Tribolium castaneum: one gene and its partners. The main gene of each other region encodes a partner of the protein of the gene in region 2 in a complex. Links are inferred from orthologs where the notes say so. Each region holds a gene or a part of one and is shown on either strand. Other genes may lie near its edges. The genes, in order: pre-mRNA-splicing factor RBM22, U5 small nuclear ribonucleoprotein 40 kDa protein, Prp8, U4/U6.U5 tri-snRNP-associated protein 1, SmE, SmD1 and Usp39.

Region 1 (3,757 bases), about 5.4 Mb from region 2:
AGGGCAGCGTAGGCCACCGCGATGATAATCATGATCAGGAATTCTTTGCACAAGTTCAACATTTTGAGGGTTAACGTGGGACGGTCTGCCACGCTCGCTTCGGGATTATCGGTGTCGCTATCTGAATCTGTCGCGACAACGTCGGGGTCATTATTGTGAGTGGTCCCTGGGTCAGGTGCTGGCGAGGTGTTACAGTCCGACTCTTGTACCGGAGATGACATACCCAGTTGACCTCATACCATTGAACCTTGCTCGATTTCACGTAAACTTGCCGCGGATTCGGAGAATTTTGCTCTTTGGTTAGGTGAAAAATCGAAATTTTACGAAATTTGACATCGTGTCAGCACACGTCAGCTGTCACGCTGTCGCACGAAGTCCACCAACTGCGAATGTGCAATGACAGCTGTCACCCCCCAACTTAACCAAACAATTATTATTATTAATTATCCTCACAAATTTTTCCTTCCAATGAGTAACGGGGAATAAGAAAAAACACAAAACACTGGTCATAATTTTTTATTGATAAAAAATTGTACACCTCATAAGACCTAAGACCTACTCCTGCCTATCTGCATGCAACTGCGTGGCTCCCAGCCTGGCCGGATCCTGGCTGGGATAATGCACTGTGCTTTTGGAGGGCCCCCCTGTCGCCTCACTCGTCACAGTGCTGCTCGAAGCCGCTGTGGGGACATACGCCGACAACTGGGGCGGATTAAAGAAAAATGGGGGCATGGGCGGGGGGCCGAACATCGGCGGAACGATGAGAGACGGCGGTGGCGGCATATTCGGCAATGGAATGTGTCCCGGTTCGAGATTAAAGAAATTATTACTCAATTCAGGCAGAGCCCCCGGAAGGCCTGGCACAGGTTCATAGGCCTCAAGTCCCGGGTTAATCGCGGGGCCCGCGCGTCCTTGAGACCGCCCCCATTTGATGGTAAGTCGGCGGCCGCCCAAAATCAACTTATTGAAGGTTTTTTCGGCGGCCGTTTCAGCGGCTGCTCTGGTCGTGTACTGGACGAAGGCGCATTGCTGTTTAGGGACTAAACTAACAGAGCGGATCTCCCCGTATTGGTAGAAGTGGTCCCTGATGTCTTGTTCGGTGAGAGTACCAAGATTGCCGATGTATAGAGTTGTGATGGTTTTGTCTTCAGGGGGCGGTAATGCAGGCATGGCTGCCGCTCTTTTCAATAATTTATCAGCAACAGGGTCGTTCACGCCGTAGTAGCGGTCTTTTATGTTTTGATCAGCAAGGGGGTCTTCAGGATCTGTTGGCTTCTCGTGTCTGTAAGGACACTCCTCGCCTCTTCTGCACTCCCCTTTCACCCAAAATGAACATACGTGGGGCCTGTTTCGTTTGTAGTAGGGGGCTGTTCGCGCCAAACGCATTAGCAAGTCATTCGGTTCGTTCAACTTATTCGACAAAACGCCAGTATCCGACCGTTGCAACTGCAAAATAAGAGGTCGAAATTCAGATAATTGAATGGCTTTTTACAAAGTCAATGTTATTTGCTTAAAAAAGCCTGAACCGGAAATATTTAAATCAAATCTAGAGGGTAAATCTGGGTGTGGATGTGGTGAATTTGTTTTTTTTTGATTTGGCAAGGCTGATGTGAGTCATGGAGGCAACATTACCACATAAAAAAACACTAAGCTCTTTAAAGCACTCAACTGCCTTCGTGGACGCAAAATATAATAAAACAAACCTCGCGCTCCATATTCTGGATATAATATTCCTTATTAACGTCGCTCTTGGGGAGATCATCCTTGAGTTTGAGGGCAGCGTCCCGGACCTGTATAGGGAGGCCGTACTCCAAGTCCAGGAGACACGTCTGACACACGTTCTTCAACTTGCTACAAGTCTGGCAAACTTCTGTCTTTTTGAAACGCATACGAGCCCCAGGACACCACCGAAACACTGTGAAAGGGCGCGCACAGATTTTACACTCCTTGCCATATTTTTCTTTAGTCTGAAATCACATTTATTGAATAAATCAGGGAGAGTTGTGGCCCAGGAGATACAAACCATGCGAATATAAGGGTTGTCCCCCAGACAGGTTTGACACAAAATCGGGAAGTCCTAAAGTGAGGTTAAATCAGATTTACACTAGTTCCAGTTTAGGACTTACCGCATCCTCCCAGTTTTGCCGATTGTATGTGTTTGTTGTTTTTGACGTTGCCATTGCAGTTTCACACCATTTATGCTCGGGTTTTGCTCAAATTATACGAAAACTAAAAACAAGCTTTATTGATAGTTACTTGACGTGACTCAGTGCTGCCAACCTGTGTATGGGAGGGGACGTGGCGCAGGCGTTTTGGGGCGAGAGGTGATCCATTTATATCCTTTTATGGCAAACATAACCGCTAGATAAATAGGTTTTGCGAAATTTGTGAAATAAAATTATTTGCCAAGTGTTCATAACCAGTGCGTGTGCCAAGAGAATTTCTCGTAAACTGCCAACACGTAGTGTAAACTTTTCTACTACAATATCTCCGTGTTCCACTTGAGGATTCTTACCATTTCCGGCAAACCGGATCATTTTTCACATAAAAAAAACAGGAAAATGTCATTTGCATCAAGTAAGTGTGACCGTTTTTTGTTTCATTTGACAGGTTGCGATAATCAAGCCACCCCGTGTAATTCCGGTTGGTTTAATTTTGAAATGGAATTTATCTTATCTTTTCCAGAGAGTATTTACGCGACTTTGCCGCGGACCCAACGAGGACAGCCCCTGGTGTTGGGCGGGGATCCCAAAGGCAAGAACTTTCTCTACACCAATGGCAATTCCGTGATCATTCGCAACATCCAAGTAAAAAAAACCTTTCCTCCCTTAGAAACCCACTCCAATTGGTTTGTTACAGAACCCTGCAATTGCCGACGTCTACACGGAACATTCCTGTCCGGTAAACGTCGCCAAGTACTCCCCTAGCGGCTTCTACATCGCCTCTGGAGGTAAATCAACACACTGGAGCCCCCGAAAATTAAAACAAACTGGTTTTATTTCTAGACCAATCGGGCAAAGTCAGAATCTGGGACACAGTCAACAAGGAGCACATCCTTAAAAATGAGTTTCACCCAATCGGGGGGCCCATCAAAGATATCGCTTGGTCCCCTGATAACCAACGAATGGTCGTGGTTGGCGAAGGCCGCGAACGCTTCGGTCATGTTTTCATGTCCGAAACGGGAACTTCCGTTGGCGAAATCTCAGGCCAATCAAAACCCATCAATTCCTGCGATTTCAAACCCACGAGACCTTTCAGAATCATCACGGGGTCTGAAGACAACACCATTGCGGTTTTCGAGGGGCCCCCGTTTAAGTTCAAAATGACCAAGCAGGTAAGGAGGCCACGACTCGTGTCGCCAACCCACAAAATTAAATACACTAGCTTTGAACTGACAAACCAACACCACTTTTAACGCAATTTCACATTTTTTTGACCCAATTTACCTTTTTTTTTATTGCGTGATAATCGAAATGTCCTTGACGAAAACTAATTTGGGGGGAAATACCTGTTCATAAAGTAACCATAGGTGGCTATGATTTTGGTCAACGTCACGTGATTGTTTTTTACAGGAGCACAGCAGGTTTGTGCAAGCCGTTCGTTATTCACCCACCGGTAATTTATTTGCCTCGGCTGGGTTCGATGGTAAGGTGTTTCTGTACGATGGTACGTCCTCCGATTTGGTGGGGGAAGTGGGAAGCCCCGCCCACAGCGGGGGCGTGTATGGGGTTAGTTGGAGTCCCGACGGTAAACAATT
Region 2 (4,094 bases):
GAAATGATTGTACAACTTAAAAAAACAGAATAAAATCATAAAATTTTCTGTTGAATTGAATGCGGAAGACGTTTTTGAATTTGGTATTGCCTTTATTATAAAAAAATAAAATTTTTCGAAAAACTATAATTGATAATTTTCTTTATTTACATCCTCATATGTTCCTTCTGAATAAAGTTAGAAACCTTTTTGGAGAAGATCCCTAAATGAATATAAGTTCAGACGTATATAGGGTGAGTCTTAACTTACACGCATAAATTTAGGGAATGATAGCCTTTCTAGTAATAGTTATTTACAATTTACCTGTAGTAGGTAAAATTTTACAGCGTGAAGTTTTAATATTGAAGCTCGAAACGAAGTTGAGGGCTTTAATACAAAAATTGAACCCTGTAAAATACCTAACGCACAAATAACTTGCAAAACTGGTTGGCCAAATATCGCTAAAAATAGATAAATAATTACCACTCAGCATTTAGATTATTTTACCACGCAATGTCAACATTTTACTTAGCAAATGACTAAATAGTAGTCATTTATACGGACTAGAAAATTAAAAAATTCTAGAATGAAACCATAAAATTTTCTGTCCAATTATTCTACAGAGTAAACTTAATATAACACATAAAATTTATATCTTAGTTATGGCTTATTTTTTTCAATACACAAATCAATTTTATTTTTAGAAACGCTAGTCTTTGACATCCAGTTATTGAGAAAAGACATGTTAAAATAACATTTTAAATAGCCACCAACTTTTTTGTTTACTATTTTAGTACTACACTCCTTCATATTTCTGATAAATATAGGGTGCTCAAAAACTGGCGCACCAACTCAGTGGTACATTATTGAGAAGCAAGTGCAGATTACGGGAAAAATGTTTAAAAAATTCCTAAAGTCATATTTTGAAAAATCTGGAGCTACAAACTTATTGTGTTAACTTCTTTAGTTTTCATTATTTTTTTTATGTATTTATGTTTCATACCAAGTAATCGTTCCGTAACAAAACGATGAATAATTATTTTCAAATTTACTATCAGATTTTAGCAGTTTTTTTAATTTAAAAAAATTAAAATTCATCCAAAAAATCGCAATGTGTAAATGTGCCAACACTGGCAATTATTTCCTAGGAAACCGTTTCAAAAATAATTTATTTTTATTCTTGCTCAACTTCTGTTGCGATCATGACTGTTAGACAACGTTGCCACATATCATTTATCCAAAATCCGTTATTTATCAATAACTTTAATACAAAGAATTTTTTACTATTTTTACCTTTATATGTAACCAGTTCTCTACCACACACCAATGAGTTGGTGCGCCAGTTTTTGAGCACGCTGTATAATAAAATTCAAACAAATGGAGCAAAAAATCAAAAAACAAAAAGAATAAAAAAATGAAAGAGGTAAAAAAGTTATGAATAATTTTACACAAGGGCTTTATTTTTCTGTTTTGGCTTTATTTTATAAGAACGATTGTTTGTTTTTCCTTATTTTTTTGTTTTTAGGTTGTTTTCATATTAGTTAAAAAACAAAAATAAAAAACATGCACCCCTGATAAAACAAAGCAATAACAATTCGTGTATACATATAGTCGATTTTTTTTATAATCAACTGTCAAAGAGCCGTCAGGTTAGTATTACCATAAATAGTAATTTTTACTAAGATGGTACTAATTTTTACCTGGCAAATTTAATTTAATGGTCTTTAAGTTACAACACGCACAACACATTTTTTTAAAAGGCTAACAAATTCTAAAGACTAACGAATTCAAATTTCATTGGCTGCAAAAATTGTCCCGAATGTCAAATCTGGTGTGTAAAATGTCAAATACAGAATACAGCTAGTTTCGAAAGTGATTAGACATGAGATTTTGGTGTGATACAGTCTGGTCTTTATCAAAATTTTGACACTGACAGTTAATTATAAAAAAGAATGAACTGTAGTTATCAAATTATTTTTAACAGCTAATGTACCTGTACAAAATTTAAAAATATTCTTGTTACAAATAGTTTTATTTTTGAATAAATAAACTAGTTCAGAATATTTTAAAAATGAACATTTGCTTCCATTTATTTAACTTGGTAATTTTTAACTACTATTGGAACCTGCACACAGGCGGCCAATTGGCATGGCTCAGCCCTGCTAACATCAACTGATGAATTATGTTGCACAAACAATTGGAAAAACAGCTTTAAGCTTATTATTTACATTTTTATCAATAACAATTGAAAATTTTTTACTCTTAACTTTCGAATTATGTTAACCCCCTGAATCAAATTCCCAACGCACGGGCGTTAATTTTAAGACACCCTCTATGTACTTCAAATTACTATATTAGATATTCAAGTAAATCCTCCAAAATTTTGATATGAAGACCTATTTGGCTGAACCTCATTGCAAAAAAAACAACTTACAAATTCTACGGTCGAAACCTGATGAAGCTACATATTGACCCTCAGGGTGGAATTCCACTGTGAAAATCTCACCCTCGTGGCCCTCCAGTAACATAATGGGGGCAAATAGATTGGAAGTTCTCGCAGGGGCCTGAAATACATGATTTGAGGAGGGTTTTTGAGGTTAAGTGTTACTAACCGCTTGTAAGACCGATTTGTTTTTGTTCGATGTGGCCACTTCATTTTTCGATTTTTTGCTTACGGGGACTAGAGATGATGAATCTTCGGCTCGACGTTTCTCAACAACCATTTTTGGTGTTTTAAACAAAAATTGGGAGGAAAACAATAACCTCACTTTTTAGCGTCAACAAAACGAAGCGATAAGCGCCCTCTGGTGGAGAGCACGAAGTACGATTTGATTGTATACCCTGTTTCAATTATATAAAACAAATAGTTATCTCCTTTGGAATAAATGTTTGACAACAATGAAATGGTTTCCCAATGTCGATATCTAAAAATTATTTGGTTTTTTACTTGCCAAAATTTCGAAAACGATTAATATTAGCTCACTTAACTCACTTTGCGTAATTCTTATTACTTTTTTGCTCTAAAATTGTCAGTATTTTCCCGGTACTAACAGATTTTTGTTAGTAATTTGCAACACTGAAACACAATTAAGTTTCTCTTGGCAAATATTTGAGGTACAACCCCATAAGACTGTTGCATTATTGCGCCATCATTTTTAGTGTGTCGTACTAATTTTTTGGGATTAGAAACTCCTGTAATTTTATATCTTGTTTCATCTCCTAAGTTTAGGAGGAACCCCCGGAGTTTAGGCTCATTTTCAAACTACAAACATCTTTTTTGCGTAATTTTACTAAAATAGATTGATAAGAATGATATCTTCCAAATTATAGTCGTTATTATAGTCTGCTTTGTTTGATTCAGTAAAGTTTCGACTTAAAAACTACATATTTTCTTAAATTCTGTCAGAAGAAACTTAAAAATCAGCAAACTTGATCAAAATTAGATACTAGATACTAATGTTTTTTGTGTAATTTTGGCAAAACAATCCAAAAGGTTGTTAAATCGTGTTAAAAATAATGTTATTTGTCTATTTTCAGATGTTTATTTAATATTTTAGCACTTTTTTTCGTGAAAAAACACCGTGAAAATCCTTAAATTAACTAAAAATTGACTTGACTTTGGTTTATTTTGCTCAATTTTTGAACTCATTTAAACTCTAAAATAAATCAGTTTGTAAAAAAACTCTTAAAATGACACTAAAAATCATTAATCGAAAATCCCAAATTTGTTGGAAAATTATGTTATCTGTGCCTTTTTTAAACGTAGAATTTTGTTAACAGACCGACATTGATTAATGATTTCTTCCTCTTAGACGATATTACAGAAAAAACTTAAAACACTGATTGCATGCCAAAAAAATTGCCTAAACATTTGCAAATATTTACGTACGTTTCTTCCAGAATATGTATATCCTGTTTTTATAACTCATTTTAATTAATTTTTACTTAAAATATTTACTTCCGTGCCTACGGAGAGTGTGATGCAACTAATCTAATAAAAATATTTAAAATAAGTGCTCAAACATTAAACTTTGCGACACGCAAAGTGGATAAATATTTGCGGCATTCCATCAAAGTTTGCGTAATTTCCATATTCTGTAAAATGCATGTGTTAG
Region 3 (3,500 bases), on a different chromosome or scaffold from region 2:
ATTCAGATTCTCTTTATTTTCGTTAATTGGCTTTTTTTGTCTTATCAACTTCAACTTTATCTTTACTCGTGAGGTAAATTTTTTCTCATGCACTTTTTCGTCTAAGACTATTTTTTTTTTCACCGCAACTTCTTCCTGTGGTCTTTAAAAAGTTTCTGTTATTTTTACCCCAACATTCTTCTTTCCTCTCTTTTTTTTTTGTTCGACGAAATTTTCACTTCCTCATCACTCTTTTTAAACATTTTTTAAAAGTTTCTTAACTGAACTCACGTCTCATAAAAAGACTCAACACATTTTTCTCGTGCAGTTTTGCGAGTGATAATATAATGTGTTTTGCTAGAGAAAGTTTAAACTGTCATATCCCAAAAAAGTGTGCAGCTAGAATTAAATTATGTGCTCCAACGGACTACCAAACTTTTTTTTATTAAACCTTTATAACGTCTTAATTTCAAAATTTTACACTGTGTCAATATAAAAAAGTTTGTGATAAGAAAAAAAAAAAAGTTAAATGGTAAGAAAACAGAAAAAACCAAACGAGCAATGTGAAGACTTTTCTTTCTAGGAAAAATATAGAAATATAGAAAAAATATAGAAAAAATATTACATCAAATTTCTTTATGACCAAACCTAAAGTATTTGTTGAATTTACAATTTACAAATTGGTATGAAAGTAAACTCTTTAAGTGAGTGTTGTCCTTAAATTAAACCATTACTTCATAGGTCAGTTATTATCTCATTTTCATAGATATTTGAAAACTCATTTTATAAAAAAACTAAACATTCAAATCGCACGAAAAAAATATAAATAATAGAAGTAACTTTTTAAAACAAAACAAAAAGTGGTCATGCTAGACTACGAATCATAATTTCTGTAGCGCAGCAGAAAACAGCAATTCCTAAAAATCTTTAAAAAACGAGCGTACAGTAGGAAGGCAGAAGAACTAAGGAAAAAATTACAGAAGTGAATGACACGGAGATCTATTGAGGAATAAGAAAAATACGAAAAGACTTAAAAAGGTCGTAAAGAAAAAAGTAAGGATAAAATGGAAGAGATAGAAAACAAGTCAAAAGAAAAAGTATGAGGCACTCAACGAAAATAAAAACATGGGTTGAAGAAATAAAAAAATTATAAATAAATTATAAACAAAAAAAGAGTTTTAGTTTTTATTTTTACTTTGGATTTCTTATAAAAAGCGACTAAAAATGAATTATATCGTAGTGTGTCTTGCCTAAGCCAACGTAGGTCTAATTTAGATATACGTTGGGCTAGCCAAGACACAGTACACTTGCTATTTTGTACTATGAAAATATTAGTCACTTAAAAATAATGGTCTACTGACCAACTTTAATAATATGGTCGTAAATTTAAAAGTACACTGATGGAATGAAAGAAAACAATATTTAAATATTAACATAGATTATTTGATCAAATGAAGTACTCATATACAAAAAAATCTTCGAAAATATCGATTTTATTTTTATATATTTTTTTAAATTTAATTTAATAATAAAACTAGTATTTTTTTTATTTTAAGCTGCATAAGGTAAGTGTATCATTTATTGAGTTTCTTGCCTATGGACGTAACAGTTTAATTTAGAAACAACAATTATACGGAAACTATTTTATTAGTTTTTTAAAAATTCAATTTCTGTTTTTTTCATCCAAGCACGCTTTAAGCATTCCTAGTGTAATTTTGCGAAATTTAGGCAGTATTATTATAGTTATGTTCGTTTATTAGAACCTTTTGAGGCTCCAATAGGTTTTTATTTGATATTCTTGGTAGTTAAAATAATATTAATAATGAAAAATATTGTATGTGATATTTCAGCATTTTCATGAAGACTTTACAATGAAACGAATATCATACCACAACAGTTAATCTTCCACACTGCTAGTTTACCCGTTCCATGCTTCAAGAACGAATACTAAACTAATGTGGGTGAAAAAAACGCAAAAGAAAAAATTACATACCACGACAAGTGCACAAAATGAGGCATGTTGTTGTACAAATATGGAAACGCTATCCTATATTCGGTCCTAATAGGTTGCCTAATTATAATTTTATTGATATCGTTAAACTCATTCCAGTCTTCGTCCCTGCAATAATGATAAACAGTAAGATATTTAATAAAAACCTTAAAATTAAAAATTCTTACGCAGGATTCATATCCTTGATAAGCGGTTCAAATTTAGGCCCTCCAGGTATAGCCATATTTAAAGCTTTCGCCGTAAAGAAACTCTTGGTATCAAAAAGATAAAAATAATTGTTATCAACTAAATCGGTCAGTAGTTGGTTTGCCAAACGATACAATGTCGCCATCATAGGTAGCGTTAAATTCCATTTCCGGTACGTTGGGCCATTCACATACTTCATACCAACTAATGGTTTGTGGTCGTAAAACCATTTCGCAACTTCGGCGTCTTCCTCTGCGTCCAATTCAATCTGAATGGCTTCAAGTGGCTCAACATCTAGCACGTTATCGGCATAATCTAGAGGCGGTTCTTCGTCATCGAACGGTGGAAATCGCATTCGCTTGAAATGACGACGATCGCGTTTTTCACGTCGCATCATAATCCACATTGTTCCCCACTGGGCTATGTAAATGGGCTCAATCACCCATGGAATTTCATTAACAAAAGTTATAGCACCAGTTATGTGGTACAAAACTTTAACGTCCCTTATTTGTTCCCAAGGCATTGGCATGTTTTCCAATAACTTCATTACGGCATGAGGCATGTATTTTAAAGCGCTGGTAAAAAGAAAATTCAAAAATTATGTCACATCATGCAACTGAAGAAAAAAATTACTTTAGACGCACTCAAAGTAAAAAAAATAGCAAAGATCTGACTACTGTTTGGAAAAGAACGTCACAGAGCTGTACAAAGTGGCAAAGAATAATTTGTCTCAGACACTTTGTAATTGTAAAAAAAATCTAAACTATTAAACTATTATTTGACTGTGTCGTTATATATGGAGCGATTTCCTTCTATTTTTTTAGAGACATAAGCTTCTTTTTTTACATTTAGCCAGATACACATTTTTACTGCTTGCTATTTCTTTCGGAATCTAAGTTAGCTAAGCTTCGGAATTATTAATTCTACAGTGTTAAGTTTCAATATTCAATTAAACTCCTGGATTTAAGTTCATAATTCTCACCCAATTTATCGCTGGTGTATTAAGATTTCTATTATTGTAATTCACTAACATTTTTTCACAACTTGTAAAGTCGACGTCTTACAAAATCGACAAAGGTCTGAACCTCCCTTGTGATATCTCAAATAAATTCAGTTGTGTCACATTTTTTAAGTATTTATTAGTTTTTATATAAATTACACAGACCGAGTTTAAGTACAAGTTCTCTAAGAATTGCATAATATAGTTCTGAAAATTAACCACAAATTATGAAACTTAAAAAGTGATTTGTAAAGTCATCAAACACGTATTTTTTGTTTAACATTAAAATTTTATCAATACACATTCTTTTCAAAAACGCAATTT
Region 4 (4,071 bases), on a different chromosome or scaffold from region 2:
GATTACCGTGCAATCCCTATCCTAATCATGACTGATAATGGTGCTCACGGAAGTGACGTGAAAGGTCACGTCGAGAGCTGGTCATCAACCATTTATTTTTTTAATTAACTATAACTTTCTGTTCAATATTTTCCTTTATTACCGTTTTGTTGGAAAATATGGGAAATTGGTAATTTCTAATTAAAACACGGAACTCACTTTTAATTCATTTCATTTATCGCAAAAATTATTACACCGTTTGTACTCGTAGGGAGCCAGACTTTAAAACTTATTCATAAAACCATTATCATTATCGTACCCGTCCCTTAAAAACGATCTACAAAACAAAAACATTTCGTAACACTTTTCGTTAGGACTTTGTAAATAAAAACTGATAAAAATGAAACAATTTATACAATTTACAATGATGCCCAGTTTTCCTTAATTTAAAATTGCCACTTCTTTTTAGAGTAGCGCTGAATTTTGTTCACACAAAATTATAGTATTTATTTATTCTTAGTCATTTTACTTAACGCCGACTTTTGGAAATAACCGCCGTTTGCTGGCTCTGCTTGTTCCCCGACAAGACCACATACGGCGACTGCGTCTCCTTCTGCTTCGCTTGCAGCATATTCAAAGTCCCTAAGGGCGTATCCGTCGAACTCATCTTCTTCATCAACTGCTCCTGCACGCCCTTCTTTATCCTCTTCTCGATCTTATTTTTCCCCGGCCCTTTCCCGTGGAACTTATGCGAGAGATACCTGAAGGCCTCCTTCGAGTTCAACACGTGCCCATCATCGTCGATATACTCCAACTTAACATTGGGCTTAAACCCATCCTTCTCCTTAAACTCCATAATGGGGCCAGTGTACCTCTCCCGGCGGTTCGCGCGATCGCCCTCATCCCCGTAGGTCTTGTCCTCGATAGAGTAATGCTTGGCTTGCAAATGCGCTAACCGCGAATTCGACGGCCTCTTATTCTGCTCCTTGTCCAGGTACCCCTTGCTCATTGCAAGCTTCAAAGCTGCCCCAAGCCCTGTACTGACATCAGGCTCTTCGTCGAGGATTTGCACCTCTTGTGGGGCAATTTGCGGGCTTTCGTGCGGCTCGTTTGGATCGACTGAATTCCAGCCGGTTTTCTCCTCCTGCTCGACTTCGTCCATTTCGGGCTCGTCTTTCAGATCACGCTCGAAATCGATCAAATCTTCGGTTTCCTCGCGGTTGCCGGACTTGCCGTACGTTGGGATGTCGCCCAAAGTGCGGCAAAACTCCGCCGTGGCGTTCAGAACAATACTCCCCTCCAGGTTTTCCTCACTTTCGCTTTTAACCGGCGTTGATTTAACAATCTCAGCAACGAGGTTCTCCTTCTGTTTGATTTTGCGTGTCTTGTGCAGCGCTTTTTCCAAGAGATCGTCCTTCTCGTCCTCGAGTTTGACGTCCGTGGGGTATTCCATTTCGGGGATGTCGTCAATGGTCAAGTCTTCGAGCTCTTTCTTTGGGCGTCTTGAGCCGACTTCCTCGATGCCTTTGTTGTTAATTTGTTGCTCCAATTCATCAGCGGTCAGTTTTCCCTTAGTTCGGATTTTGCGGACTTTCTTTTTGGGTTTTTTAAATTTGGACAGTTCCTCGTCGTTGTAATATTCCGATGCGAGTTTTAAATCTTTTGTTTCAATCGATTCGATTCTTTTTTTGGCGAGTTTTTCCTTAATTGATTGCACGATTGCTTGTTTACGTTCAACCGCATTGTCGTAACCGATTTTGAAGCTTTCGCGTTTTTCGCCGTCGATTGTTTCGTCGTATTGGGCCAAAAGCGACTTTTCTTTGGGGTTGCCAAACTCGTCGTACTCCTGGTCTTCGTAGGCGTTATACAAAATCTTCTTCTTCTTGTTTATAACGTTCTGAAATTTGATGATAAATAATCATTCACTGTAAATATTTGTAACAAATTACCTTTTTGTATCTCTCGTCCTCAACCATGTTGACATTGACCAGGACATCCTCCTTGTCTTCATCCAAGACGCCCTTGTCTTGCAGCGTCAAGATAACATCCCTTTCCTCAGCAAAGCTATCAACATCATGCTCCACCCTCAGCCCTTTCAAATTCCTCTCAGTGTATCTCTGCTTCCTCTTCTCCTTCTTCTCATTCTCCACAAACTCGCTGACCCCAAACTGCTCATCCAACTCCTCCAACATTTTCGCCCTTTTCTCAGCCTCCTTCTTGGCCAATTCAATCTTGCGGTTCTTATCAACCCACGACTCCACATTATCATCACTATCACTGTCCCCCAGCAGCTTCACCTTGCCCAGCTTATTCTCCAGCTGGCGCTTTTCCCGAATCGTTGTCAATTTGCCCTTCAGCTTCTCCCTCTCGTGCTTATCCGCCCAATTCTCCGCCGGCTTGTGGTAAAACTCGCCCCAATCGTCCTTCTTCTTCCCGTCATCCCGTTTCTTCTCGGACTTGTCCCCCGAACTCACATCGAGCGGCTTCAGGCCGAGCTTCGCCCGCAGTTTGTTCGTTTCCTCAATCGAGAGACTCTCAGCGTTTTGCCCGGAGCCCGAAGGCTCATCGTCCGGAATCACCTCGATCACGTCGGATCCTGGCAAAAAATCATTCAAACGGGAAAGTTGGACGCGGGGTGCTTACCGTCGCTGTCGTAGTCGTGCTTCGCCCTCGCGTCGCGCTTCTTGTCCCTGTGGTGCCTCTTGTGGCGGTGGCGCTTCTCCTTCGGGGGCTCATGCTCGTCGGTGTAGCCGGGGCTGTGGTGGCGCCGCTTACGAGACTCTTTCTCTTTTTCTTTGTATTTTTTGCTACTAGAACCCATCCTTTTTACAAAATTTGAAGGAAATACCTACCGTACACAACGTCAATGCAACGTTTTGACGTGCGCGAAATCCGGATTGGTGGTTTCGCCGTTACGGGATTTGCCGAGTTCAAAAACCTAACCCCACATTTGCCAAGCCAAGATGACCAACTTATTGAAGCAATTGCAGGCGATGTACGAGCTTGCCCTGCACTCGAACATCTCCCGAGTGGTTTGTAGCCCCCTTTTGGGAGTCTGAGCCCCCAACTGTGCTTTTAGTGCGACTTGGCCCTGTCGGCGTCCGAGCAAAAGCCCGACTTTTTGCCCCCTTTGCAGAAGTTCCAGGTGATGTTGCTGTACGCCGATTCGCTGTACGAGACGCAACAGTTCGCCCAAAGCGAGAGTTTGTACCGCCAGGCCTTACAGCTCCGCAAACACCTCTTAAAAACCAAGTCAATGTCTAATAAAATCACGGAGAGTCAGCCCGAACTGGCCAGCGATGTGGAGATCAGGTTCAAGATACACAAGTGCTGCATGGCCCTGAAGCAGGTGAATGGGGCCATCGAGATGCTGCAGTCGATTCAGGCCCGCCTGCGGACCCCCAAAGTCAACATGGCGCTCGGCAACTTGTACAGGGAGGCCGGGATGGAGCGCTCGGCCATAACGTGCTACAAGGAGGTGCTCCGGGAGTGCCCGCTGGCCCTCGAAGCCGTGGAGAACTTGCTCAAGCTGGGGGTGAAAGGGGTCGAAGTCAACGCACTAATGGTGGAGGCAACTTCCGAACTAAACTGGCTAAACCTCTGGCTCAAAGCACAAGCCCAGTTGTACTCGCGCGACTTCGAAAACGCCGCCCAAACGTACAAAAGCATGGACAGCCACGGTCTACTCAAAGACAACACGTCGCTGCTGGTCAACCTGGGCTACTGCTACCACTACATGTGTGAGGACGAGACGGCGATTGCAGTCCTCCAGCGGGCGATTAAACTCGACCAGAACCTAGTCTTTGGTCGCGATTTACTGGCCACGCTTTTGGCGAGCTCGGGGACTTCCGAACACGTTGAGTATTTGGAGGATTTGATCCCGACCTCGGATATGTCGCTGTGGACGAGTGAGCATTGGGTGGTCATTGGCAATCTGATGTTTTCGACGAGACGGCACGAAAAAGCCGTTTATTTCGCACAGCAGGCGCTTTGTGCCTCGCCCAAAAACATAGAGGCGTTGCTGCTGAAAGCCAAGACGCTGGTGGAGCTCAGCAAGTACCAGGATGCCGCCCAGCATTGCACGGAAGCGAT
Region 5 (2,431 bases), on a different chromosome or scaffold from region 2:
ATTACAAATAAATAAGAGAAAAAAAAAATTTAATTTACCAATCAGAAGTAAGCGGACGTGAGAAATGACATGTGAGAGGTGCTGGCACACTCTGGCCCTCTCTTCTTCAGTCCAATGGGCTGTGGGTTGGGTGACACCAGCTTGGTACTTTGCCCAGTTTAAAATTGCTCTCCAGACATCCTCTTCCTCCAAACAGAGCTAAATTGAAACAGTAATAAATGATTTTAAGTAAAATTTTAAAACTTACATAATCTGAGGAGATTAATTTTAAGACTGCTTCTTTGGGAAGAGAAAGAAATGAGTTTGTTTTTACACATTCTACAGCATTTTCGCCAATGTAGCTGACGCAACGTTCGACAAAACCTGTCGCAGCTTTACCCCCTACAAAAAAAATATATTGGAACACCTACAAGCTTCACAATTCTAAAAAAGCGATAATTACCTGTATTGTCCATCACATTTTAATTTTAAGGACTTTGAAGTTATAAAAATAGACATAATTACTAAAATAATTTTAATGTCCGCATTTCTTTTACAGAAAGTTGATGAATCACTTAATACTAAGACCAATTGCGGTTTTCATACAAACACATTACTCCAACGAATGAAAAAATTGTTATGAAACTTAGAATTACGCTACAATTTACAACTAATTGCCTGATTGAGGATTCACGTTCTGTATCAGCGTTATGTTATCTCCTTTAAGCATGATTCTTCCCAGCTGCCTCCTGTTCTTCGTTTTAACGTAATATTCCTCAGCATCATCCAGCACAAGATTCATGTATTCATCAAAACCCACAATGTGCCCCTCGATTCTCAGATTAATGTTCTCGTATAACCACACTTGTACACGTGAACGGTTTTGTAAGTAACGAAAAATTAAGTTGATGGGTTGTACCATCACTTTTTGAACTTTTTGTGGTTTGTACGCCATGGTTAGAGGAGTCTTGGGTTACCGGCAAAAAAAGTTCTTTAAGGAAGCTAAGTGCAAACACACTTTCACACAGCACGAATTATTCGTATTAAGAGAAAAAAACTTGTTCAAAGTTTGCAATAGTATTTATAAAACTTAAAAAATGAGGCGACGCTTACAATACGACCAAAGTAAGGTTATCTGTGTGAGTTCTGTATTCTGTTGGCAATCGTGGAACGCGGGAAGCTTGACGAGCTGAAATACACCAGAAAAAGGTCTGGTGGTTTGGTCGTTTTTAGGCTGTTTCGAAACTATAAAAACACCAACGTCCCATTTTTTTTCCAAAATTATTCACGCAGAATTATAGTCGCACAATTTATATTTTGGGTTTTCCTTAACTAATCAAGCTGAGTTATTCCATAATTATCATCAGATGGGCGTAAATGTCTCGAAAAAAATTTTTTTTATTCTCATTTAGCTTTCTTTGACGTGATAGTTTTTTATATATTTTTTTTGAACTTGGTGTCTCATAAACTCAATTTTTTTTTAATAAGGTTGATAAAAATGTAAAATAGTTATTAATAAATAAATCATTGAGACTATAAATAACATTACCTATTAGTTTTTTGAAGTGCATAAATAATTTATAACAACTAATTTTGAGAGAAAATACGAGGTTGGCGTTTTTATAGTTTTGAAATAGCTAATATGAGGAGTTGCGCCGTGTCTTACACACACACAATCGTCAATAGGTCTTTCTTTGTCATTGTTACCCTTAATGACACAATTTTGGTTTTGGCGGGATAATTTTACGTGACTTTAAAGAAAAAAACGACAAGCTATAAACTCGATATAAAGATGTGAAACGACATTTAAATCAACTCTTTACTGAATAGGAAGGGTTATTTTGCTCAAAAAGTTAGATAAATGCCTGAAATCACACTTAAGAAAAAATTGCCAAGAGTGCTTTGACTTTGCACCAAATGGATGCTGCTTTTAACAGTTGTCATCGCGTGATTGTCAGTCAGTGTTGTTATCTCTCAGAAAATCGAACGAAACTAGTGATTATTTGGACTGGGTGGTTCAAAAATGCAAAGTGGGGCACCTGTTTTTGTGGAATATTTGTGAATTTGAAAGTGCGGGCGCGCAGACTGTGACCTGGCGCGATGCGCACAACGACCTGCCCCTTGACTGTGTTTATGGAGAATACTCGGGGAAAAACCGGCTCAAAAGACACATTTTTCAATTTGGGTAAGGTAAGTGCTACACCTTTGCGGCCCAAAACCTCTTTGAACCTTAATTTTTTTATTTGCACCGGAGATTATTTTTATTTATATTATTTATATTTTCCAAACTGTGATGAAGTGTAAAGTGTTGTTTGAGTCTTAATAGCCCCAAAAACTAGAATTAGGCGAGAAAAATCTCAAAATTAATGCCAAAACGATACAAAATTGATGTTAATGAGCCCTAGCCGATCCCAAAGGACCAAAGGATCATTTATATGAAATCTGTGCATAG
Region 6 (2,615 bases), on a different chromosome or scaffold from region 2:
TTTTTGTATTGAAAGTAAGAGAATGTTCCTAAATTTGTAAAATAATTATTAATATAAAAAAAATTGAGGTTAAATAAAGTGATAGTCCATCTGTTTCTGTATTGATAGTCAGTGTTTAAGACCACCCGAAAAATGGGGCTATCTTTAGGAGAATGTTCCGTCATGAAGGAGGTAATCAGTAAAACGTTAATTTTACCAAACTCATTTAACCATTTGTAGATAACAAAAACAGAAGAAGCAATCAAAGCCTGTTACGTGAGGGTCCAACTTTTAGAAAAAAAGATCGAATCTGATGAAATCCCCAACGAGAAAAAAGCCGACATGAAGAAAGAGTTACGAGAAGTTCGCAAACTTTTAACCACAAACGAAAACCAACTTTCACAACTCCACAGACACAATCGAAAATCATTCGCATTTGTAGCCGCCTTCTGTTTTGTTTGTTTCACAGTTTACGTTTTATACATTTTAGTACAAGGTCCCGATTTTTAATAACAAAGACATTTTAAACCTAAATATGTTTTATTGATGAATTTAGCAGAATTATAAAAGTTTTACAAATACTGGAACTAAACGAAAAGATTCACACTTACAATTACGAAACTTAATTTAATGAACGTATTCTTATCTACGCCCTCTCCCTCTGCCCCTGCCTCGGGGGCCCCCTCTGCCACGGCCCCTCCCGCGGCCTCTGGCAGCCCCCCGGGCGCTCTCCTTCTTCTTGGCCTTGGCTTTGGGGGTGTCGTCAATCAGCAGAGTCTCGAGGGGTAAACTATCGGGCAAAATGTAGTAACGAATGTTGTTTCCTCTAACTGTTAGGGTGTCTAAGTTCACAGGATTTCGGTTCTTTACAGTCACTTTTACAGCTTTTAAGTGCGTATTCATGGCCACATCTACACCGGTTATAGTGCCATGGACTTGTGTGCCGTTTTTCAGCTCCATTGTGACCGTTTCATGGCTCAGTTTCATTAAAAACCTGAAAATGGCCGAAATGTTAGGTTAGGTGGTTTTTCAGGAGTTTTACTTGGAATTCAAGGAAATAAAAACGTGTCTGATCAATCAGTAGTTTACGTTCTCACCTTACTAATTTCATGTTGATATTTTTGGTGTAATTAAGACAATTTTTATATTATGCCGGCAAAACACGCTTGGCTTACGTTTTTTTACCCCCCCTCTTCCATAGAGGGAAAGAGAATGAGCATATAAGAAAGAGATGGCAAGAAAACTTGCGAAGGGAGCGCCACTTACGTGGCGCCAATTTTAAATCGTTATTTTTTTTATAGGTTTGCAGATAATTATGGACTCTGAAAATAAAAACAATTCTTTATTATTTACTATTATCACAGCTATTATCAAAATAACCTTGCTATTGGCACGTAGTAACAATGAAATATTTTGCTTTATACAGTCGAACTTCGATCACCCGAATAGGCCGTTGCCACTTCAAATCATCTTTGTAGAATACAGTGGAATAATACTTTTGTTGAGTTCAAGTGATTCCTGTTATTATAATATGAGCAATTTTTTTAACTAATCCAACAAAGTGTTTACCTTAAAAATCTCAACTCTCTCTAGTGCATCTAGTGTTCTTGTTCTTAATTTTTATTAGTTGCGTGTTTTTAGTTAATTAATTAATTAAACAAAAATTCGTGTTATAAAAATTTTTCGAATTCAAAATTTGAAATTGAACAAAATAATTGGTGGAGTCGGTTTATCCCCGTTCGGGTGACAGGGGTTCCACTGTATGAATACATTTTGCGGAGAAAAATTTAAGATTAGGTCGATTATATAAATTATATGTTAATAAGAAGTTAGAAAATACTTATCTGAAAAGTTAAAAAAAGTAATTTTTGACTTGTTTTCGCCTAAATTATAACTATAACATGAGAAAGATACGTTTTTAGTTTGACAGTTTTTGAGTGAGGCTTCAAAATTGCTGAAATTATGTGGACACGATTATAATGGGCAAAATTAGATTATAGGATAAGAGGGTTAACCTACAGAAATTTGGGCATAATTATTCACTGTACATAATAACCCCACTCTCCCCTACCTAAAGTATTTGAAAAACACTTGTTACTGATTAATTTATGTTATTTATTACAATATTAGAATAGATAACACAAAACTAGTAATAATCATTTTCGCAAGATCTCGGGTCCGGTCGCAACTCTGACCTCTGTCGAAAGAACTGAAAAATTCCGGTTAGTTTTAAGTTATCAAATGACTACGTTGCAAGTACAAGTTTATTAGTACAATTTTATTAAAATGTTACTTAAATAAAACCATTTTTACCCAAAAAATTTACAAAAAGTCATTTTTGGATACAAATTTTCTAGTTTTACTTTTTTGAATTATGTTAAAAGACTAGGTGGTTATTTACCAGTGAACGATCGATTATGAAATTTAAATAAAAAAAAGGATAAAATTGGATTATGAAATTAATAATAAATTAGTGTGACTCAATAATTATTAATTTTTTGTGGCAACAAGCAGTGAAAACAGTGAAAACACTTGGCTAAACTAATTAGTTACAAACTAGATTAAAAAAAGTAAGTTGTAATATTTACAAGTTTATTTTTTAATTCGTAGGTATATTAAAACTGTCCGTTCCTGCT
Region 7 (4,300 bases), on a different chromosome or scaffold from region 2:
ACAAAAATTCCGGTGATAGAATTTTATTCGTAAAAAATTACTTTTCTAATCTTAGCTCATAAATTTGTATATAAGCCTCCGTCAGCGTAATCATCTGCGGCAAAATATCCGTCACATGCAAGTCCTGCATCTCGTACCACTTGCCCGTTGATTTTTGCAAAATATGAACCCTGTAAGTGCCTTTCCCCGGCTCTCCATCATGCACAATATTCGCCACTAGATCATAGACCGTATGTTTATGTTTGGCCTTAACTTCGGGCGTCAAAAACTCGCCAAAATCAACATTCCTAACCGGAAAATTCACAATGGTTGGATTCTTCTCCACGTAGAACGTGTTCTTCGTAAACCTCTTAATATACAAGATTAAATAAGGCGGCAAACGCGTAATCTCAAACTTCTTGAGGAAATTCTCCTTGTAAGTCTTGTACTCCTTCTCGGTCTGTCCGTTGAACTTGGTGAGGAGCTGGTACAAGTTCACCTGGGGGATGATATTCTCCCGGAACTCGTCGATGAAGAGAGGCGGTGGAGGCAAGTCGCAGGTGAGGTACAAGAAGGGTGACTCGGTGATGATCTCCTGGTACTCTGGAGTTGACAAAAGCATGCGTTTCTGTCTGTCGTCAAGCTCGGTCGGTGGTATTTTCCTGGTGTAAATTTTCATGTTTCCGAGGAATGACTGGTAAATGATGGAACTGTTTTTCTTTTTATTGCCGTTAAGTGCCCGATGAAGTGCGTTCAAAAACCACGAAAGGAAATCAATGGGGTCGCCTTGTGCCGTAATTTGGAAGCGCTTTTTGCTCCACAAAACCACAGCTTGGAGCATTTCGTGCGGCGAAACGTGGGCTTTGAAATTTCGGGGGTTCCATAATTTACGCATCAGTTCACCGTAACGTTGCACCAGGAGGTAAGAGGAGTCACCTGGGGGGCGTTTTATCTTGCTGTAGTTCTCCTCACGGAGGAAGTAATTACGTAAAGGGACAACACGTGAAAGGGCTTGTAAAACAACATTACAGTAATCGTTCGCTTTTATGTTGTTTAAACCGACGATTCCTGGCATGTAAAGTAGGCCATCAATTGCTCGGGACATTTTTGTGCTAACGTCCAATGTACTGATGTGTTGTTCGGTAAATGTGGGGTTGAGCAGGTATTTAATGTCGTCGAGGGACGAATCTGTGAGTAATTTAATTTTGTTAGAAAAAAATCGTTGGAGCTTGAAATTAAGTGGCAACACTGATTACTGAAACCGAATACTTCCCCGAACATTTCCTAGTATTTGCTTTTTTCAATTCAGAAATTGACAACACGATTATCGAAAATAGACAAAAAACACAAAAATTAACCGAAAAACCACCAAACGGATTCAATAATTACATAATGTTTGTCTTTTCCGAAGATCCCAACTTGTTATTTCAGGCAGAAATGCCAAACAAGCCGCAAAATTACCAAATCAGGCCACAAATTATCTCATTTTTCCTTTTTTTTTAAGCCATTATGCATGTTTTTGAGCTAAACAGGCATTTATTTTACAAAATTCGTGAATTATGACATTGTAAAAACGTATAAATCCTAATCTTTGTAAAAAGTCTCCCAATTGAAGACTTCGCGCGAATTTCAAATCACGCGCGCTCAAGTGTCATTTTCAAATCAGCCAATGAGGTGCCGTTGGCGTGACATCAGCGTTAGAGTGAAGCTTGTCTGCCGAAGTGCGCGTCCTTTTGCTTTTGCGTGTTGAAAAACCGGTGTTTTGTGCGTGTTAAGTGGCAAAAACGACTCAAATCGACTTTTTATCGGAAATGTGACGTGTGTAGACTATCAAAGTGTGTTAGCAGCAAGCTGGAAGCCGGTTTTGAAAAAATTCAGTTAGACGACGCTAAGGTTAGTCATTTTTGTATTTTTTCCACGATTACTCGGTTTAATTCGAGTTAGTTTCGGTTGAAAACGCATACAAAACGATATTCAATAAAATGCCAATCGGAAAAATGCGACAAAACGAAGATTTCACTTTATTTTTGAAGGGGGGCGTTACTGGCATTGCGCCCTCTCAAACATTCGCGTTATTGAAACGATTTAATCTAATTCGGTGTAAAACTTCAGCTCGAATCAAGTGAGTTGGGTAAAATTGTTGAAATTTGAAGAAAAATGTTGCCAACTTAATTTCAAAACTACAATTGAGAGTATTTATTACCTATTATTTCATAATTGTCGGGCAAGCAGTAAAACTTCAAGGTGTGCAAGTTGAGGAAAACGTGGTGGCCTTCGGCCACCGAATGCGTATAAGCATGTGTGTTTGTGCCTCTACCTTGGAAATATTTTCCGCAAACAAGACAGGCATAAACGTTGATGCGAGTCAACGACACTGAGCACAATTTTTCGAAATCAAAGTCGAGATATTGCCGGTTGATTGTGTCCAAATAGGGGCACAGTCGATGCGTTTGGGGCTTCCCACCTGGAATAGACAATAATAGAACAGGGCGCTTTAATCGATTGATTTTTGTACCTTTCCGGTCCGAATTGTCAGAAGGGGGCTCAATTTCGGCTAAAATTGAACGTTTCAGTTGCGTTTTCGAGGTTATGTGTACTTACGTTGTGAGGAGTTTGATTTGGCTTGGGGCTCCTCGAACTTGGGCTTTTTCATGGCAGGTTCATCGTCCGCTTCCATCGTATTCACGCTTTTTTAATTAATTTTTGATTAAATCACGCTAGGACTGTTTTTGTGTGGTGTTTGCAACTTTAAGGTTATATTTACTGTCAACGGTGTCAATAATAATGTCAATCTGGTTATGCAATAAAATTCGAAATTGTAAAAAAATAAGTACTTTATTCAATAAAATTACGCTTTGAGACTAACTTTCTCTTCTTCGGCGCCTCGTTCATCACAAACTTCGACTTCCCCTCTCAGTTTTTTCTGGATGTCTTCGAGGGTTTTTCCTTTCGTTTCAGGCACAAAGAAATAAATAAAAACTAGTCCAAGTAGCGAACAAATCCCGAAACCGTAAAACGAGACATGTAGTCCGTATTCTACTTTAGTTATTTGTAAGTACTTGGAGGCCACTGTGGCCATCACACTGAAGTAAACATCGGCCAAACAAAGCGCAAAAGCTTTCACATTTGTGGGAAACAACTCCCCTAACATACAAATCGGGATTGACTGCATCCCTAAACTGAAAATTATCACAAAAGCTAGAAGCCCCACAACGGCCACGATCGAAAATGAGCTCGTATCAATGTCCGTTTCGTTCAAAAGATAAAAATAGGTCCCTTCGACAAAAAGGGCTAACGCCGACCCCGCCATTGAGATGATCAACAGTGGTCTTCGACCGGCCTTATCCACAATACTCGAGGAGAACATTGTGAGGAGCAACTGGATGGAGTAGTAAATCATCACAGCGTAATGTGCGGAAATGTGGTCCCCAGCAGTTTGGAAAATCTCATGGGTGTAGAAGGCAATAGCCGTGGTCCCCGCCAATTGCTGGAAGCCCCGGAGCCCCCCGATGATGAAAACGGCCTTCCGGTTGCTCTTCACCCGGAACAAGTCGACGAATTTCCCATTGTGCGACTTTTCCTCAGCCTGGATTGCGTTCCGGATTCGGTTCAAATCCCCGGAGACATTTTCGCGTTTTTTGAGGCGTTCTAGTGATTTCCGGGCCTCGTCCGCCCTCCCACGCATTAACAAATAGTACGGACTTTCCGGCATCCACAAGAATGTAATAAATAGGATTGCCGGCACAATTGAGGACACAAGTGCCGTGGTTTTAATACTAAGGTACGACCCTATCACATTTATGATGAGAAAACCGGCGATCCAGGTCACGGAGCAGCTGGAGCCGAGCATCCCTCGCACCTGGGGGTCGGCGATCTCGCCGATGTACATGGGGACGACGGTGAAGGTGACGCCGTCGGCGATGCCGGCGATTAAACGCGCGATGTAGAGGAGGACGATGCTGGGGGCGAAAGCCACCATTATCCAGGAGAGGAAGAAGGGGACGGCGGTGGCAAGGATGGTGCGTTTGCGGCCCAGGATGTCGACGATGGTGGCGGCGGTGAGCGAGCCGATGACCGCCCCCACCAGGGGCATGACGGCCAGGTTGGAGCCCTGGTTTTCGTCAATGCACAAGGTGCAAGTCTCGTTGTTTTTGAGCTGGGGGAGGCTGGGGGACGACCAGCCGTAGATCATGCCGTCGGTGACGATGGCCAAAGTGCCTGCGAGGAAGCGAAAGTGAGTTTCTCGATTTTGTAAGGATTGGATTCAGGTCGTTAAGTTTTTAGGGGTTTCTGGTTCAGGTAGAAGCGAAGGTTCAACCAG

The links.
Region 1: U5 small nuclear ribonucleoprotein 40 kDa protein (region 2) and pre-mRNA-splicing factor RBM22 share a complex: the UniProt entries of both Homo sapiens proteins name them as parts of the postcatalytic spliceosome P complex. The link is inferred for Tribolium castaneum from reciprocal best matches to the Homo sapiens genes SNRNP40 and RBM22.
Region 3: U5 small nuclear ribonucleoprotein 40 kDa protein (region 2) and Prp8 share a complex: the UniProt entries of both Homo sapiens proteins name them as parts of the U4/U6-U5 tri-snRNP complex. The link is inferred for Tribolium castaneum from reciprocal best matches to the Homo sapiens genes SNRNP40 and PRPF8.
Region 4: U5 small nuclear ribonucleoprotein 40 kDa protein (region 2) and U4/U6.U5 tri-snRNP-associated protein 1 share a complex: the UniProt entries of both Homo sapiens proteins name them as parts of the U4/U6-U5 tri-snRNP complex. The link is inferred for Tribolium castaneum from reciprocal best matches to the Homo sapiens genes SNRNP40 and SART1.
Region 5: U5 small nuclear ribonucleoprotein 40 kDa protein (region 2) and SmE share a complex: the UniProt entries of both Homo sapiens proteins name them as parts of the U4/U6-U5 tri-snRNP complex. The link is inferred for Tribolium castaneum from reciprocal best matches to the Homo sapiens genes SNRNP40 and SNRPE.
Region 6: U5 small nuclear ribonucleoprotein 40 kDa protein (region 2) and SmD1 share a complex: the UniProt entries of both Homo sapiens proteins name them as parts of the U4/U6-U5 tri-snRNP complex. The link is inferred for Tribolium castaneum from reciprocal best matches to the Homo sapiens genes SNRNP40 and SNRPD1.
Region 7: U5 small nuclear ribonucleoprotein 40 kDa protein (region 2) and Usp39 share a complex: the UniProt entries of both Homo sapiens proteins name them as parts of the U4/U6-U5 tri-snRNP complex. The link is inferred for Tribolium castaneum from reciprocal best matches to the Homo sapiens genes SNRNP40 and USP39.

Annotation. Positions count from the first base shown.
Region 1 is NC_087399.1:5,882,269-5,886,025, forward strand, and holds pre-mRNA-splicing factor RBM22, read right to left. Parts: upstream 2,317-3,757; 5' UTR 2,181-2,316; coding exon 2,127-2,180; intron 2,078-2,126; coding exon 2,024-2,077; intron 1,968-2,023; coding exon 1,704-1,967; intron 1,447-1,703; coding exon 556-1,446; 3' UTR 501-555; downstream 1-500. Other genes in the region: thioredoxin domain-containing protein 11, read right to left, coding at 1-221; flr (actin-interacting protein 1), read left to right, coding at 2,562-2,577, 2,686-2,807, 2,860-2,950, 3,006-3,334, 3,573-3,757. UniProt on the Homo sapiens protein: Required for pre-mRNA splicing as component of the activated spliceosome. Involved in the first step of pre-mRNA splicing.
Region 2 is NC_087399.1:11,299,474-11,303,567, forward strand, and holds the start of U5 small nuclear ribonucleoprotein 40 kDa protein, read right to left. Parts: upstream 2,801-4,094; 5' UTR 2,703-2,800; coding exon 2,592-2,702; intron 2,544-2,591; coding exon 2,414-2,543; intron 1-2,413. UniProt on the Homo sapiens protein: Required for pre-mRNA splicing as component of the activated spliceosome. Component of the U5 small nuclear ribonucleoprotein (snRNP) complex and the U4/U6-U5 tri-snRNP complex, building blocks of the spliceosome.
Region 3 is NC_087394.1:7,718,291-7,721,790, forward strand, and holds part of Prp8 (pre-mRNA-processing-splicing factor 8), read right to left. Parts: intron 2,752-3,500; coding exon 2,158-2,751; intron 2,099-2,157; coding exon 1,973-2,098; intron 1-1,972. UniProt on the Homo sapiens protein: Plays a role in pre-mRNA splicing as core component of precatalytic, catalytic and postcatalytic spliceosomal complexes, both of the predominant U2-type spliceosome and the minor U12-type spliceosome.
Region 4 is NC_087395.1:24,229,694-24,233,764, reverse strand, and holds U4/U6.U5 tri-snRNP-associated protein 1, read right to left. Parts: upstream 2,801-4,071; coding exon 2,623-2,800; intron 2,576-2,622; coding exon 1,929-2,575; intron 1,877-1,928; coding exon 509-1,876; 3' UTR 195-508; downstream 1-194. Other genes in the region: APC7 (anaphase-promoting complex subunit 7), read left to right, coding at 2,943-3,011, 3,059-4,071. UniProt on the Homo sapiens protein: Plays a role in mRNA splicing as a component of the U4/U6-U5 tri-snRNP, one of the building blocks of the spliceosome. May also bind to DNA.
Region 5 is NC_087394.1:32,141,537-32,143,967, reverse strand, and holds SmE (probable small nuclear ribonucleoprotein E), read right to left. Parts: upstream 1,152-2,431; 5' UTR 935-1,151; coding exon 650-934; 3' UTR 501-649; downstream 1-500. Other genes in the region: kelch-like protein 21, read right to left, coding at 39-198, 248-381. UniProt on the Homo sapiens protein: Plays a role in pre-mRNA splicing as a core component of the spliceosomal U1, U2, U4 and U5 small nuclear ribonucleoproteins (snRNPs), the building blocks of the spliceosome.
Region 6 is NC_087394.1:7,020,357-7,022,971, forward strand, and holds SmD1 (probable small nuclear ribonucleoprotein Sm D1), read right to left. Parts: upstream 1,232-2,615; 5' UTR 1,091-1,231; coding exon 1,077-1,090; intron 974-1,076; coding exon 622-973; 3' UTR 501-621; downstream 1-500. UniProt on the Homo sapiens protein: Plays a role in pre-mRNA splicing as a core component of the spliceosomal U1, U2, U4 and U5 small nuclear ribonucleoproteins (snRNPs), the building blocks of the spliceosome.
Region 7 is NC_087394.1:36,569,871-36,574,170, forward strand, and holds Usp39 (ubiquitin carboxyl-terminal hydrolase 39), read right to left. Parts: upstream 2,801-4,300; 5' UTR 2,657-2,800; coding exon 2,581-2,656; intron 2,534-2,580; coding exon 2,495-2,533; intron 2,444-2,494; coding exon 2,183-2,443; intron 1,873-2,182; exon of another isoform or gene 1,629-1,872; intron 1,168-1,628; coding exon 38-1,167; 3' UTR 8-37; downstream 1-7. Other genes in the region: facilitated trehalose transporter Tret1, read right to left, coding at 2,828-4,197.